Canis lupus familiaris: one gene and its partners. The protein of the gene in region 1 binds, or shares a complex with, the protein of each later gene. Links are inferred from orthologs where the notes say so. Each region holds a gene or a part of one and is shown in the gene's direction. Other genes may lie near its edges. The genes, in order: CBLL1, METTL14, WTAP and RBM15.

The links.
Region 2: CBLL1 (region 1) and METTL14 share a complex: the UniProt entries of both Homo sapiens proteins name them as parts of the WMM complex. The link is inferred for Canis lupus familiaris from reciprocal best matches to the Homo sapiens genes CBLL1 and METTL14.
Region 3: CBLL1 (region 1) and WTAP share a complex: the UniProt entries of both Homo sapiens proteins name them as parts of the WMM complex. The link is inferred for Canis lupus familiaris from reciprocal best matches to the Homo sapiens genes CBLL1 and WTAP.
Region 4: CBLL1 (region 1) and RBM15 share a complex: the UniProt entries of both Homo sapiens proteins name them as parts of the WMM complex. The link is inferred for Canis lupus familiaris from reciprocal best matches to the Homo sapiens genes CBLL1 and RBM15.

Annotation. Positions count from the first base shown.
Region 1 is NC_049239.1:13,103,177-13,107,251, reverse strand, and holds the start of CBLL1 (E3 ubiquitin-protein ligase Hakai), read left to right. Parts: upstream 1-1,237; 5' UTR 1,238-1,611; coding exon 1,612-1,624; intron 1,625-1,751; exon of another isoform or gene 1,752-1,879; intron 1,880-2,069; exon of another isoform or gene 2,070-2,233; intron 2,234-2,260; exon of another isoform or gene 2,261-2,392; intron 2,393-4,075. UniProt on the Homo sapiens protein: E3 ubiquitin-protein ligase that mediates ubiquitination of several tyrosine-phosphorylated Src substrates, including CDH1, CTTN and DOK1. Targets CDH1 for endocytosis and degradation.
Region 2 is NC_049253.1:2,153,883-2,156,963, reverse strand, and holds the end of METTL14 (N6-adenosine-methyltransferase non-catalytic subunit), read left to right. Parts: intron 1-1,053; coding exon 1,054-1,358; 3' UTR 1,359-2,537; downstream 2,538-3,081. UniProt on the Homo sapiens protein: The METTL3-METTL14 heterodimer forms a N6-methyltransferase complex that methylates adenosine residues at the N(6) position of some mRNAs and regulates the circadian clock, differentiation of embryonic stem cells and cortical neurogenesis.
Region 3 is NC_049222.1:49,504,314-49,506,726, forward strand, and holds part of WTAP (pre-mRNA-splicing regulator WTAP), read left to right. Parts: intron 1-1,370; coding exon 1,371-1,525; intron 1,526-2,413. UniProt on the Homo sapiens protein: Associated component of the WMM complex, a complex that mediates N6-methyladenosine (m6A) methylation of RNAs, a modification that plays a role in the efficiency of mRNA splicing and RNA processing.
Region 4 is NC_049227.1:42,108,070-42,112,069, reverse strand, and holds the start of RBM15 (RNA-binding protein 15), read left to right. Parts: upstream 1-1,198; 5' UTR 1,199-1,530; coding exon 1,531-4,000. UniProt on the Homo sapiens protein: RNA-binding protein that acts as a key regulator of N6-methyladenosine (m6A) methylation of RNAs, thereby regulating different processes, such as hematopoietic cell homeostasis, alternative splicing of mRNAs and X chromosome inactivation mediated by Xist RNA.

The DNA of each region.
Region 1 (4,075 bases):
TTTCAACAAAAGCAAGGGTTAAGTCTGATTCACAATTCCCCTTGGCTGTAACTGTACCGAAAAACTTGTTTAGGAAGCTTCAGATGCCGCGGGGAAGTGTATTTCAAGACCCCAGGAAGGGGCACCTGGCTGGTTCGGGTGGTTGAGCATCTGCCTTTGCTTTGGCTCAGGTCGTGATCTTAGGGTGTGTGGGGGGGTCCCCTGCAGGGAGCCTGCTTCTCCCTCTGCCTAGGTCTCTCTCTCTGTGTCTCATGAACAAGTACAATCTTTAAAGGCCCCAGGAGAACCTCCATCCACCGGCGAGCGCGGAGCACTCAAGGTTCCGCTCCCGAGGACTCCACGCCGATGTCGCTGCAGCACTACCGGCCCAGCGCACCGCCGCACGCGCTCCCTCCAGGATTCGGGGCCGGAGAACGCTCCTGGGAGGAGGGCAGGAGAATCATCATCATCATCTTCTTCTATCGATCCAGGAACTCTGGCACGGAAAGCGTGAACCACCCAAGGTAACGATGTCGTCACCAAGGGACGACAGGAATAGAACCCAAATCCCTGGGCTCCCAGGCTCGTGTTTTCTCCTTAATCGTGCGCTCCTTCCCACTCCTCCGAGAGCACCAGGTGCGAAGGGTCGGAGAAGGGAGCGCACACCCGGAGCCCGGTCGGCGAGGCCGCCGCCGCCTCGCTCAGGGGCCCCCGGACCCACTCCGCGGCGCTGGCCGGGGACGATGAAGGCAGCCGCGGCCGCGACCCCCGGCGACCAGGAGCTGGAGCTAGGTACCGCCCCGCTGCCCCTCCCCCCGGGCCCCGCGCTCCCCGCGCTCCCCCGCTCCCCCGCCGGGCGGCCCCGCCCCGCCCCCACCCCCACCCCGCGGAGGGGCGCGCGGGGCGCCTTGCTGCGTCTCCGCCGCTACCACACCTCCTCGGTGGGAGCACGGGCCGGTACCACGTGCGCTCCGCGGGGCCCGCCAGGACGGGGCGGGATGGAGACCGCACGCCGAGAGCCCTCCCCGCTCCCACGGCGCGGCCGTCCCCCGGGCAACCTCCCGCCGAGGACGCCTTCCGGAGCGCGCGCGGCTACGCACCCCCCCCGCTCCCCGCACGCCCCCCCCCCCCGCCCCGCGCGGAGGACGCCGGCGCGCGCGCACTGCGGGCCATTCCAAACCGTTACTCCGCCCGCCGGGGTGGGGCCAAGCCCAACGGCCGAGTCTGCGCAGTTGCGCCCGGCCGGCTCCGAGGCCGCCGCGCACTACAAGTCCCAGAAGGCAACGCTCCGCGGGGGCGAGCAGCCGCCTTACCTGCCGCGAGTTCGTTCCACCGGCTGCTGGTGCTCTCCCCGTTCCCCCGTGCCCTCGGGTCTCATTTCTGTAGTCAAGGCTTAGCACCTTCGACCTGGAAGCTCTTGGCGTACCCCCCTTTGTCTCCCTCGAACTATGCCAGACGCCCTCACCGGAGTTGGGTAGTGCACCCACCCGACAGAGGGGAACCTGAGGAGGCCCAAGCCGAGGCAGCTCGGTCGCACTTCCGCCTCGCGGGCTCCGGAAGGGAGCGCGCACGCGCGCCCTGCGACTCCGGCGCGGTTGACTTCCGCTCCCACTGTGCCCCGCGAGCCGAATCATGGATCACACTGGTAAGGAGGCGGAGGCAGCGGGGGTCCCGGGTCCATGCCCCCTCGGCCGGCCTGGGACTGGCTGCCCGGCGGGCGGAGCGGGGATGCGCTCGCCCTGCAGCGCTGGGGGGTGGCGGTGAGAGAGAAATCCCACAGACCCCTCCCGGTGCCCGGCAAGGGCCTGCCGTTTCCCGGCCTACCCTCCGGTGTGGTACCTACAGCCTCGGTGCCGGCAGCAGCCGCCGCTCTGGTGCTGCGGAGCTCCCCGCCCGCACGGTGGGCGGCGCGGCCTCGTGGGGACCGGGGCGCGCTGCCTCCTTTTTTTTTTTTTTTTTTCTTTTTAAACCGTGGTGCCCCGCTCTGCGTTTCGGGTGCCGGCGGGCAGACTCCAGGCTCAGGGTCGGGGCGCGGGAGGGGGCTGCGGGCGGGCGCTGCGGGGGGCGCTGCCGGTCCTTCGTGGACCCGAGGCGGAGCGGGGAGCCAGGTGAGAGTTTTCGGAATCCTGCTCGGACCGGCTTTTCTGTCTGAGCCCAAAGCCTGCTCCGCGCTTCGGCTGTGGTCCTTACTCCTCTTTCGGGGGCGTTTACAAAGGAGAGCTTAAATTCAAGATACCCGCATCTCTTTCTCCAAGTAAGAAGGACTCCGCTCTTCGTTGTGTGTTGTTTGGCTTTTTTTTTTTCATCGTGGCTTTTGGATAGTGAGTGAGTGAACCTGGGGCTGCTGTTCCGTGTGGTTCCATCAGCCATATCCTAAGTAGGATAAAAGGATACTTCTTGTATTAAGTATTGGGTAAGGTGTTCTCAGTCATCAAATGCCTACTTAATTTTGTACATATAGGCGTAAAATTATTTCTGTCTATAAAATTTAGTGAGTGCTAGTCAGCAAAACCTATGCCAGACCCCAGTATGCCTAGAGAGGGAATGATGGACTTGGAAACCAGGCCAACTGCGTTCCTGGCCTCATGGAGATTACATTCTGTTGGGAAAGACACGATAGAGAAGTTTTTGTTGTTGTTGTTGTTTTTTAACCTAAGCATTACAGATCATGATGAGCGCTTGGAAAAAAAATTAACAGCGTCTGTGGTAAAGACTAAAGGAGGAGGCTTCAGAGAGAGTGGTCAGGGAGGGTCTTTCTGGATTTCTAAGCTGAGATATGATAGATGAGAAGAATCCCTGCATGGAATTAATCAGGAGTAAAGCGTGTCTAGCAAATATGAAGACTCTGAGGAAGGAAAACGTAGAGGTCAGTCAGCTACAGCTTAGCAAGAAGCAATGAGCCCTAAGAGATTGGAAGGGACGGTGGGAGTCAGATGGTACAGGACTTTGAAGGCCGTGGTAAAGATTTTATTTTATTTTTTAAAGATTTTATTTATTTATTCATGAGAGACAGAGAGGCAGAGGCACAGGCTGAGGGAGAAGCAGGCTCCATGCAGGGAGCCCGATGTGAGACTCAATCCTGGGACTCCAGGATCACGCCCTGGGCTGAAGGCAGGTGCCAAACTGCTGAGCCACCTGGGGATCCCTGAAGCCATTGAGCAGGAGTACAGGAGGAACATAATTTCTTTTAAAAACACAGTAACTTGTTTGTGGAGAATGGTGTGAGAGACAAGACTGATAGAAAATAGTTTAGATGGTGATTGCAGTAGAACACTAAGAGAGGCTCGGTAATGAAGTTGGTTCGGTTTAAAGAAAAGGGGAGTGGGCATATCGAATGTTGTGGTGGAATTCAAATAGGAGCTTTGTGAGAGAAAGGAGAGATGACTACCTTTCTGGTTTGAGCAGCTAGGCAGTGCCCGTTACTAAGTTGGGGAAAACTTGGGAGGAAAACAGACGTCTTTTTTTTAAGTGGTAAAGGGAGACTTGGGAACTTGAGAATGAGATTTTTGGCTGCAAAGGATGAGCTGTGTACGAGGATATATAAGGGGAGATGTCAAGTGGAGATCAGAGGAAAGATCTGGGTTGAAAAATATGTATTTGAGACTTATGAGCAGGTAGCTGTTGTTTTAAGGAATGGGGATGGATGAGATCACTCAAAGAACAAGAATACAGAGAAGAAGAGGGCCAAGAACCGGGCTGTAAGGAACTCTGGTTTTGGAAATTTTGTAGAATTGAGATCTGGGACCTTGGTGTTAGAGTAGTAAACATGCAACTTCAGCAAAACACTTCTCATTACAGCCCCTTACTAGAATTGAGAGTGAAGCGCCTTCCACAGTTTAGAGGATAGTATGTTAGGAAGTTGTAGTGTGGCTGGGTGTGTCTCTGAGTATTATCCTAGTTCTCCAAGTTAAAATGTTGACCAGAAAGTAAGAGTCATCCTGGCATGAAAATATTCACAAATGATCTGACCACTTAAAAAATTAGTTCCTACTCAGATATCCCTGCTGCTCCTTTTCTGTTTTTAAAAGATTTTATTTTTAAAGTAAGCTCTGCACCCAACCTGGAGCTGGAACTTACAACCCCTAGATCAAGAGTC
Region 2 (3,081 bases), on another chromosome or scaffold:
CAGATGGAATTTTTGTTTTTTGTTGTGTTTTTTTTCAGAGGTAGAGATTTGTACGGAAATAGATACTATAGTGATAACTTTTTTTTTTAACTCAAATGAAATTGTCATGAAAGGCATTAATGAGAAATGTGACTGGAAAGGTAGTTCAATGGGACACCTGGGTAGCTCAGCAGTTGAGCATCTGCCTTAGGCTCAGGGTATGATCCCGGAGTCTGAGATCAAGTCCCGCAGTAGGCTCCCTGTGAGGATCCTGCTTCTCCCCCTGCCTATGCCTCTGCTTCTCTCTGTGTGTCTCTCATGAATAAATAAATAAATAAATAATTTTTTTAAAAGAAAGTTATTTCAAGCTGCATCATAAAAGACCTTAGATAACATATACATGAATCTGTGCTTTGTGGAGAGCCCTAGAAGGTTACGCAGAGAAGTGACATATTTTAAGGTTTGTTTTAGGCTTTCCACTTTCAGGGAGGAGAGGCTGGGAGAGCATTACAATATGTATGTGTGTCTGTGACATGTACAGGAGGCTGGCCTAGTAGAAAAATAAAGGCTCACATTTGAGGGTGGCAATAGACATGGAAAAATGGGAATGAATAGGAGCAACATGGTAGTGGTTGAATTTCTGGCACCTGTCAGCAGGGTTAATGTTGTGGTTCGGAAGAGTAGAGGCAAAGTTGGTTCCAGGATCTTAATCAGAAAACAATGGTATTATTTTCCCAAGTAGGAAGGTAAGCGAAGTTTATTACATTTTCACTGAGCCCAAACTCACTGTAGTGTGTAATGTTTTTTCTAAGTGCTAGTCTTACAAAATGTGAAACATGGATGGAGACAATGAGGAAGATATATTACAAAGTTACAATCATGCAGGTGAAATAAGATATATACATATGAAATCTGTATAACCATGATTAAATGCCATGTGTTGTAAAAAAGATAAATATTGAGTGAGTGATAGGGGGAACTTTAAAAATACTTTAGAAATTTGAAGTAGCTCCGAAAGGATCAGTAAGAGAAATGAGGGGGAAAAAAGATAATCTTTCTTTCCGTCTATTTCAGGCTGGCTTACAGTTGGACCAACCCTTACAAATAGCAACTATAATGCAGAAACATATGCATCCTACTTTAGTGCTCCTAATTCCTACTTGACTGGATGTACAGAAGAAATTGAGAGACTTCGACCAAAATCACCTCCTCCCAAATCTAAGTCTGATCGGGGAGGTGGAGCTCCCAGGGGTGGAGGAAGAGGTGGAACTTCTGCTGGCCGTGGACGAGAAAGAAATCGATCTAACTTCCGAGGCGAAAGAGGTGGCTTTAGGGGGGGCCGTGGAGGAGCACACAGAGGTGGCTTTCCACCTCGATAACTTTGTAAGACCGTGATCTATTCATGCCCCTATACCTTCTTTACCGTAGTTTAAATTCCAAATGGGAGGCTTTGTTTAGTACTCAATTCCAGCTTGCATTTTGCTTTAGTTTCTTTGAGCTGCAGGAATATTTTAGCCAATCTCCCTTGCAGTCATTACACACATTGTGTAGTCTTGTCCAGGATAAACAAATCATCCTGCCTTTGGTTATGTGCATGTAACTGAATAATGAACAAATACCTTCCTTTCAGAGACTAATTTATTCTGATAGATTCCAACTAATTACAAAGTCTTTTGCTTTTTAGAAATAATTTAACTGAACAGTGAAAAAGACCCAGTCTGTAGTATGCTACTAGTGCCAAGAGCATTTGATAATAGGCATCCTGCCATTGCTGTCATAGTAAATAGAAAGCTGTTTGGGAGCCTTGAGAGAATGGAGTTGGGACAGATGGTTAACTTCTGTCAAAGTTTTAATATTTTCTTGGTGAAACAATAAAAAGAGACTTCTTTTTAAAAAATCTTAAACTCAGATATGACTACCACTGAGAAATTGAGAGAATTTGAACAAAATCACCTCCCAAATCTAAATCTGTTAGAGGAGGTTGGCACTCCCAGCAGTGGGCAGAGGAAGAATTTAGTAGGTAGCCTTAAAGAGAAAAAGCTCATCATAATTTGAGTTGCATAGTTCCAGATGACTGTTAATCACACTTCTTCAGAAGCAAAGGACAAATATCCAAGTGCTAGACCTTTGGTGTAGACTTGAACTTGGATTGACTTTCAAAACAGTTTCATATTCCTTAGCAAAGTAAAAGAAATTAGGCAACAACAGAGACACCTGGTTATCAGGTGTTTTGGAAAATAAAGTACTTGGTGGTGAGGAAGTGATATCTTTGAACTTGTTATGGAGAAAACAATATAAAAATCAATTACAGAAAACTCAAATTAAGACAGCTTAGAAAACAGAATTGCAATTGCCTTTTATTAAAACCATATGGTGTGTTGTTTTTAAGAGCCTGGTTTTGCAGATCAGTTGGTTGTATAAAACTTAATGCTGTCATTTTTCTCTCTGTACTATAATTCATGTTTTAAATGAATCTGATGAATGAAATACCCTTATTCTTGAAAAATATATTTTTATTTGGTGTATGATTTTTCTAATGAAACTTTAAACCTTTGAAATGTGGGAGTCTGTTTTCTGTAAGTGAAATTGCCTTTGTTAACCTAATGAAAAAGGACTGACTTAAGATCACTCCTGTTTTGATCTGTGAGCATTTTAGTAGCCATTCTCAACTTGTCATTGGCTCATATTATACCTAAAATAAGATTATATTACATGCACTGAAGACTCAGTTTGAAGATTAGGGCTGAATTATAGAAATAGGGTTGAGATCCTTAAAAGCCTGATGAATTTAACTTGCTCAACCTGTTCGTTCTTTCTAGTACAAATACCATTTGATGCCTTTTTTTTTTTTTAAGATTTTATTTATTCATTCATAGACAGAGAGAGAGAGGCAGAGACACAGGCAGAGGGAGAGGGAGAAGCAGGCTCCATGCAGGGAGCCCGATGTGGGACTCGATCCCAGGTCCCCAGGATCACACCCCAGGCTGCAGGCAGCGCCAAACCGCTGTGCCACCAGGGCTACCCGCGTTTTTTTTTTTTTTTTTTTTTTTTTAAAGATTTTATTTATTTATTCATGAGAGACACAGAGAGACAGAGAGGCAG
Region 3 (2,413 bases), on another chromosome or scaffold:
AGAATCATTTATAAAATGCTCTCCTTTTAAGACTGAAGGCTTACAATAGGTTCAGATGCATTCTGAAGTAATACATCAGGCAAGTGAAAGCCCCAATAAATGGAGGAAAGAACAGAAAGTGTCAGCAAAAAATTTTTTTGACTGGTTAGATCTTTCTGAATGTTAACACCATCATGAGGATATCAGACTGTCCCTGGTGGAGTGTGCAACTCGATCTTGGGGTCGTGAGTTCAAGGACCACTTTGGATATAGAACCTACTTAAATACACTTTAAAAAAATACCAGGCTGTCCCTATTCAAGTATCAGGTAACCTCACAATTATGTGCTTAAATCAGATCCCTTTAAAAGTGATCATTTCTCTTATTACTTATTGAGGCTAAAGAAGTTGTTTTATTGAGAACTGTTGTTAAGACTGATTACATTTTTGCACTTGCTGTGTATGTGTGTGTACACACTTTAGAAGATTGCACTAATACTTGGTAACTAATTTGTGGAAAGTTTGGTGCTCCCAATATCTGCTCCCGTGCAGATACTTAAATATTTGCATTATTTGTAATAACCCAAATCTCACTTTTCTAAAGATAATCTTTTGTAACATGAATAAAATCTTAACCACGTATTGATATTAAATTTTTAAAAACTTGTTACCATTACGACAGCTTAAAGCTTAAAAAAGTTAAATTAGAGCTTAGTGGATAGAAATAGTCTAAAGGCTCTTTTTTAAAAGGCTCTTTAGGGATGCCTGGCTGGCTCAGTCAGTAGAGCATGCCACTCTTGATCTTAGTTAGGGTTATGAGTTCAAACCCCATGTTGAATGTATAGATTGCTTAAAAAAAAAATCTATTAAAAGTTTCTAAAAACAATTACTGAGTATATGCCTCACTGCAATAAACATCCTTCTGAGAACTGCCTATGAATAGGCACTCTTATAAAATGCTGCTTTAGCAAAAATAAATATATTCTATGTTATCACATTTACCTTTTTAAGAACTTTTCTGTTCCATGAAACTGAGTACCTTAGTGTTTTATTAATACTGGTATATATGAGGCTTGCCTTAATTAACTGGCTTGTTTCCATTTCAAATAATAATTAGGGGTGAAAATAGAGATCAGAATCCTTATTAGTGTAATAGAAAATGTGGCCATTTGGGTACTTTTTGTTTAGGGTTTATTTTTGCTGCTGTATTGGCAAAATACTGAAATGCAGAAGATGGACGTGTTCCAGGACAGAAGATGGTAATTATAGGGGAGGCATCTGCCGTGACAGTTATATTCTGTACGTGTTACATCTATTGCTGTAATAATTGCAAGCAAACAAGGTTATAGACACTTGTCTTCATTTTGTGATGGATGGCTCTTTCCTTTGCAGCCAAACAGGCAAAAAGTTAATGGCGAAGTGTCGAATGCTTATCCAGGAGAATCAAGAGCTTGGAAGGCAGCTGTCCCAGGGACGTATTGCACAACTTGAAGCAGAGTTGGCTTTACAGAAGAAATATAGTGAGGAGCTTAAAAGCAGTCAGGATGGTAAGGGGTTTTTTGAAAAGTTTGATTAACTTTGCACTGGCTTTTAAAAAGTTGCCAGGCATGAATATTACAGATTAGATTCTGTATGTACTAATTTGTGCTGATGATTCTATAAAATTATTAATGGAACATTTCTAGTTGAGTCAGCAAAGCCATTTTAGTGCCCCCCCTCCCCCCCCCCCCCCGCGACTTTCTTGTTTATTGTGCAAATTTCATAAGTTTTTGGATTTTTGGGGGAGGTGCAATTTGGTGAAAGAAGGCACTGCATACATATACACATTTATATTCAATATTTAAAAGGGATTATCTCCATTTAATCACTTTCCAAGTGTAAATCTTGGCAGTATTTGGCTATTTCTTGTGGTCTAGAAATCAGAATTGATTGTACCTGTTAAGGTCCTATTGAGTGAATAAGATGTGATATTTATTTATTTATTATTTAAGATTTTATTTATTTATTCATGGAAGACACAGAGAGAGAAGCAGAGACACAGGCAGAGAGAGAAGCAGGCTCCATGCAGGGAACCCGACGTGGGCCTTGATCCCGGGTCTCCAGGATCACATCCTGGGCTGAAGGCAGCTCTAAACCGCTGAGCCACCAGGGCTGCCTCAAGATGTGATATTTAAATTTGTTCAAGATAAACTGAATTTAATTGTCAGCTGCTTCCTCCGCCCACCCCACCCGCCTTTTCTTGGGCAAGTGTAACTGAATTTGAGGAAGATGATTAGTAACTAAAATACCTGAACTCTGGAAATTAAATTGAAAATGAATATATTTGACAATTGTAAAGATCGGTTAGAATACCTTTTAAAGTACCTTTTCAAAGTGATAGTTGTTAGCTCTTACTATATGTAAACATAGTGACTAGGAGATTTTTGTATAGTAAT
Region 4 (4,000 bases), on another chromosome or scaffold:
TTAATAGAAGAAATGCTAGAATGACATGCAATGACAAGCTGAGTCTCCCGCCAGACCGTCCAGCCCCGTCTCAGGGCGATCTTAGTGGCCACTCCCTAAGTACCGCCGTGAAGTTTCTATGGAAAAATCAACAAAAACACAGGCAGCGCCGCCGCCATGTCCCGTGGAGAACCCCCCGCGGCAGTACGTCCCACACCCTGGCCCACTCGCGGGCTTTGGCAGCTGGTCCTGGCACGCGGGGGAGCGTGCGCCCGCTGCCGCGACGTCCTCACACCAGGCTTCCTCCATCCGAGCAAGAAGCGAAATCCCTATCGCTTCCCTCGACGTCATGCGGGGAAGGGGGGCGAAGGCAGAGCCGGACTCTGCAGCCCCGGCCCTGACGCGGCTCCCAAGCTCGGGTTCGGGCAACAGCCGTGTCCCCCGAGAAGGGCCTCGGGGTAGGCGGGTAGGCGGCGGGGAGGGCCGGCCCGGGCTTCCTGGCCCCCCCTCCCCCCCTCCCCCGACGCCCGAGCACCTGCTCCGGCTGCCGGACTCACCTCACGACGGGCGGGCCCCGGGGGGTCGGCGAGGCGGCGCGAGGAGCCGCGGGGCGCACGCCCACGGCTGCACGCGGACGTCGGCCCTCGCCCGGTGACGGGGCGCGACGTAGGAAGAGCGAACCGACCGACGTCGCCGGGCGGCGGGGAGCGCCCAGGAGGCCGGCCCGGGCGAGCCCCACGGCCTGCGGCGCTCTCCGGCTGCCGCGGCCGGCCTCCTGGGGACCGCGCCCCGAGGGCTCGGTCCCCGCACAGGCCCCGAGCGGGCGGCCCAGGCACACCCACGGACGCCGCGGGACCCCATAAGTGCCCCGTAAATGCCCGTGGACGGAACGCCGCGAGCGGCCGGGGGCGGAGCCAGCGCCGTGTCAGCCTCTCGCGACGTCCCGGTGACGCCGCACGGCGAGCGCGCGGTCCGCTCTTTCACCTTCAGTCAGCCTCCTCCGTGTACGGCCTGCCCCTTTAAGCGGATGACGGACAGCTATTTCAGCCTATCAACTCCCTCGTCAGCATCCAATCAGATTTAAACTTCTTACAGCCGTCCGAGGAGTTGGAAGAAGAGGTCGAGAAAGGGAGCGCTTTCTGTCTCTCGCGAGAATGTTGTAAGCGGGCCTCTCAGGAAAAGCGCCAGAACAGATGGCCCGACTTCCCAAATAGTGAGTTAAAGGACGGGGTCGGAAACCAATGAAAGGAATGAGGAGGTGGGATCACCGCTTTTACCGCGCCAGAAGTACCGTTACAGGGCAGACTTTTCGCCCAATCAGCGCCTCCCGAGTTTGGGTCAGGTGACCCTACAGTGCGAGGGGCGGAGCTGCGGCCTGGCGCGAGGAGCCGTTAAGATGGACAACAAATACGACCAATGAGGTACTCGGACCCGGGCGTTGGGAGCCCAATAACAGCGGGCGGGCGGGCGCCTTTCCGGAGCGCGGGGAGATGTGAAGACGGACGGGACGTTTTCCCAATGAGCCTGTAGCAGAGAGGAGCCAGCTGACCAATGAGGGCCGCGGGGCGGGAGCCTCTGCCGCGGCGGAGTCCAAGATGGCGGCGTGCGGTTCCGCTGTGTGAAACGAGCGCGGGGCGGCGGGCTCAGCATCTCCGCGGAGACGACCTCCGGCGACCCGCAACAATGAAGGGGAAGGAGCGCTCTCCGGTCAAGCCCAAACGCTCCCGCGGTGGTGAGGACTCGACTTCCCGCGGGGAGCGGAGCAAGAAGTTAGGGGGCTCTGGTGGCAGCAATGGGAGTAGCAGCGGAAAGACCGACAGCGGCGGCGGGTCGCGGCGCAGCCTCCACCTGGACAAGTCCAGCAGCCGAGGCGGCAGCCGCGAGTATGACACCGGCGGGGGCAGCTCCAGTGGCCGCCTGCACAGTTACAGCTCCCCGAGCACCAAAAATTCCTCGGGCGGGGGCGAGTCGCGCAGCAGCTCCCGGGGTGGAGGCGGGGAGTCACGTTCCTCCGGGGCCGCCTCCTCAGCTCCCGGCGTTGGGGACGGCGCGGAGTACAAGACGCTGAAGATCAGCGAGTTGGGGTCCCAGCTGAGTGACGAGGCGGTGGAGGACGGACTGTTTCACGAGTTCAAGCGCTTCGGTGATGTAAGTGTCAAAATCAGTCATCTCTCGGGCTCTGGCAGCGGGGATGAGCGAGTAGCCTTTGTGAACTTCCGGCGGCCAGAGGACGCGCGGGCGGCCAAGCATGCCAGAGGCCGCCTGGTGCTCTATGACCGGCCGCTGAAGATCGAGGCGGTGTACGTGAGCCGCCGCCGCAGCCGCTCCCCCTTAGACAAGGATCCCTACCCGCCGTCGGCTGGCGTGGTGGGCGCCTCCGTGGGCGGACACCGGCACCCCCCTGGAGGCGGCGGCCAGAGATCGCTTTCCCCTGGTGGCGCGGCCCTGGGGTACCGAGACTACCGGTTGCAGCAGCTGGCTCTTGGCCGCCTGCCCCCCCCGCCTCCGCCACCGTTGCCCCGTGAGCTGGAGAGAGAGCGAGACTATCCGTTCTATGAGAGAGTGCGCCCGGCGTACAGCCTGGAGCCCAGGGTGGGAGCTGGAGCAGGTGCTGCTCCTTTCCGAGAAGTGGATGAGATCTCACCCGAGGACGATCAGCGAGCTAACCGGACGCTTTTCTTGGGCAACCTAGACATCACTGTGACAGAGAGTGACCTAAGAAGGGCTTTTGACCGCTTTGGAGTCATCACAGAGGTAGATATCAAGAGGCCCTCTCGGGGCCAGACCAGTACCTATGGCTTCCTTAAATTTGAGAACCTAGACATGTCTCACCGGGCCAAACTAGCAATGTCTGGCAAGATCATTATTCGGAATCCTATCAAAATTGGTTATGGTAAAGCTACACCCACCACTCGCCTCTGGGTAGGTGGTCTGGGACCTTGGGTGCCTCTTGCTGCCCTGGCACGAGAGTTTGACCGATTTGGCACCATCCGCACTATAGACTACCGCAAAGGTGATAGTTGGGCATATATCCAGTATGAAAGCCTGGATGCAGCTCATGCTGCCTGGACCCATATGCGTGGCTTCCCACTTGGTGGCCCAGATCGTCGCCTTAGAGTAGACTTTGCAGATACAGAACATCGTTACCAGCAGCAGTATCTGCAGCCTTTGCCCTTAACTCATTACGAGTTGGTGACAGATGCTTTTGGACATCGGGCACCTGACCCTTTGAGGGGTGCTCGGGATAGGACACCACCCTTACTCTACAGAGATCGTGACAGAGACCTTTATCCTGACTCTGACTGGGTGCCACCCCCGCCCCCAGTTCGTGAACGCAGCACTAGGACTGCAGCTGCTGCTGTGCCTGCTTACGAGCCCCTGGATAGCCTGGATCGCAGGCGAGATGGCTGGTCCTTGGACCGGGACAGAGGTGAGCGAGATCTGCCCAGCAGCAGAGACCAGCCTAGGAAGCGAAGGCCGCCCGAGGAGAGTGGGGGCCGGCACCTGGATAGGTCCCCTGAGAGTGACCGTCCCCGAAAACGTCACTGTGCTCCTTCTCCCGACCGCAGCCCGGAATTGAGCAGTAGCCGGGATCGCTACAACAGTGACAATGATCGATCTTCTCGTCTTCTTATCTTGGAAAGGCCCTCTCCAGTCAGAGACAGGCGAGGAAGTTTGGAGAAGAGCCAGGGTGACAAGCGAGACCGTAAAAACTCTGCATCAGCTGAACGGGATAGAAAGCACCGGACAACTGCTCCCACTGAGGGAAAAAGCCCTCTGAAAAAAGAAGACCGGTCTGATGGGAGTGCGCCTAGCACCAGCACTGCTTCCTCAAAGCTGAAGTCCCCTTCCCAGAAACAGGATGGTGGGACAGCCCCCACCACTGCAGCCTCTCCCAAGCTCTGTTTGGCCTGGCAGGGCATGCTTCTATTGAAGAACAGCAACTTTCCTTCCAACATGCATCTGTTGCAGGGTGACCTCCAAGTGGCTAGTAGTCTTCTTGTGGAGGGCTCAACTGGAG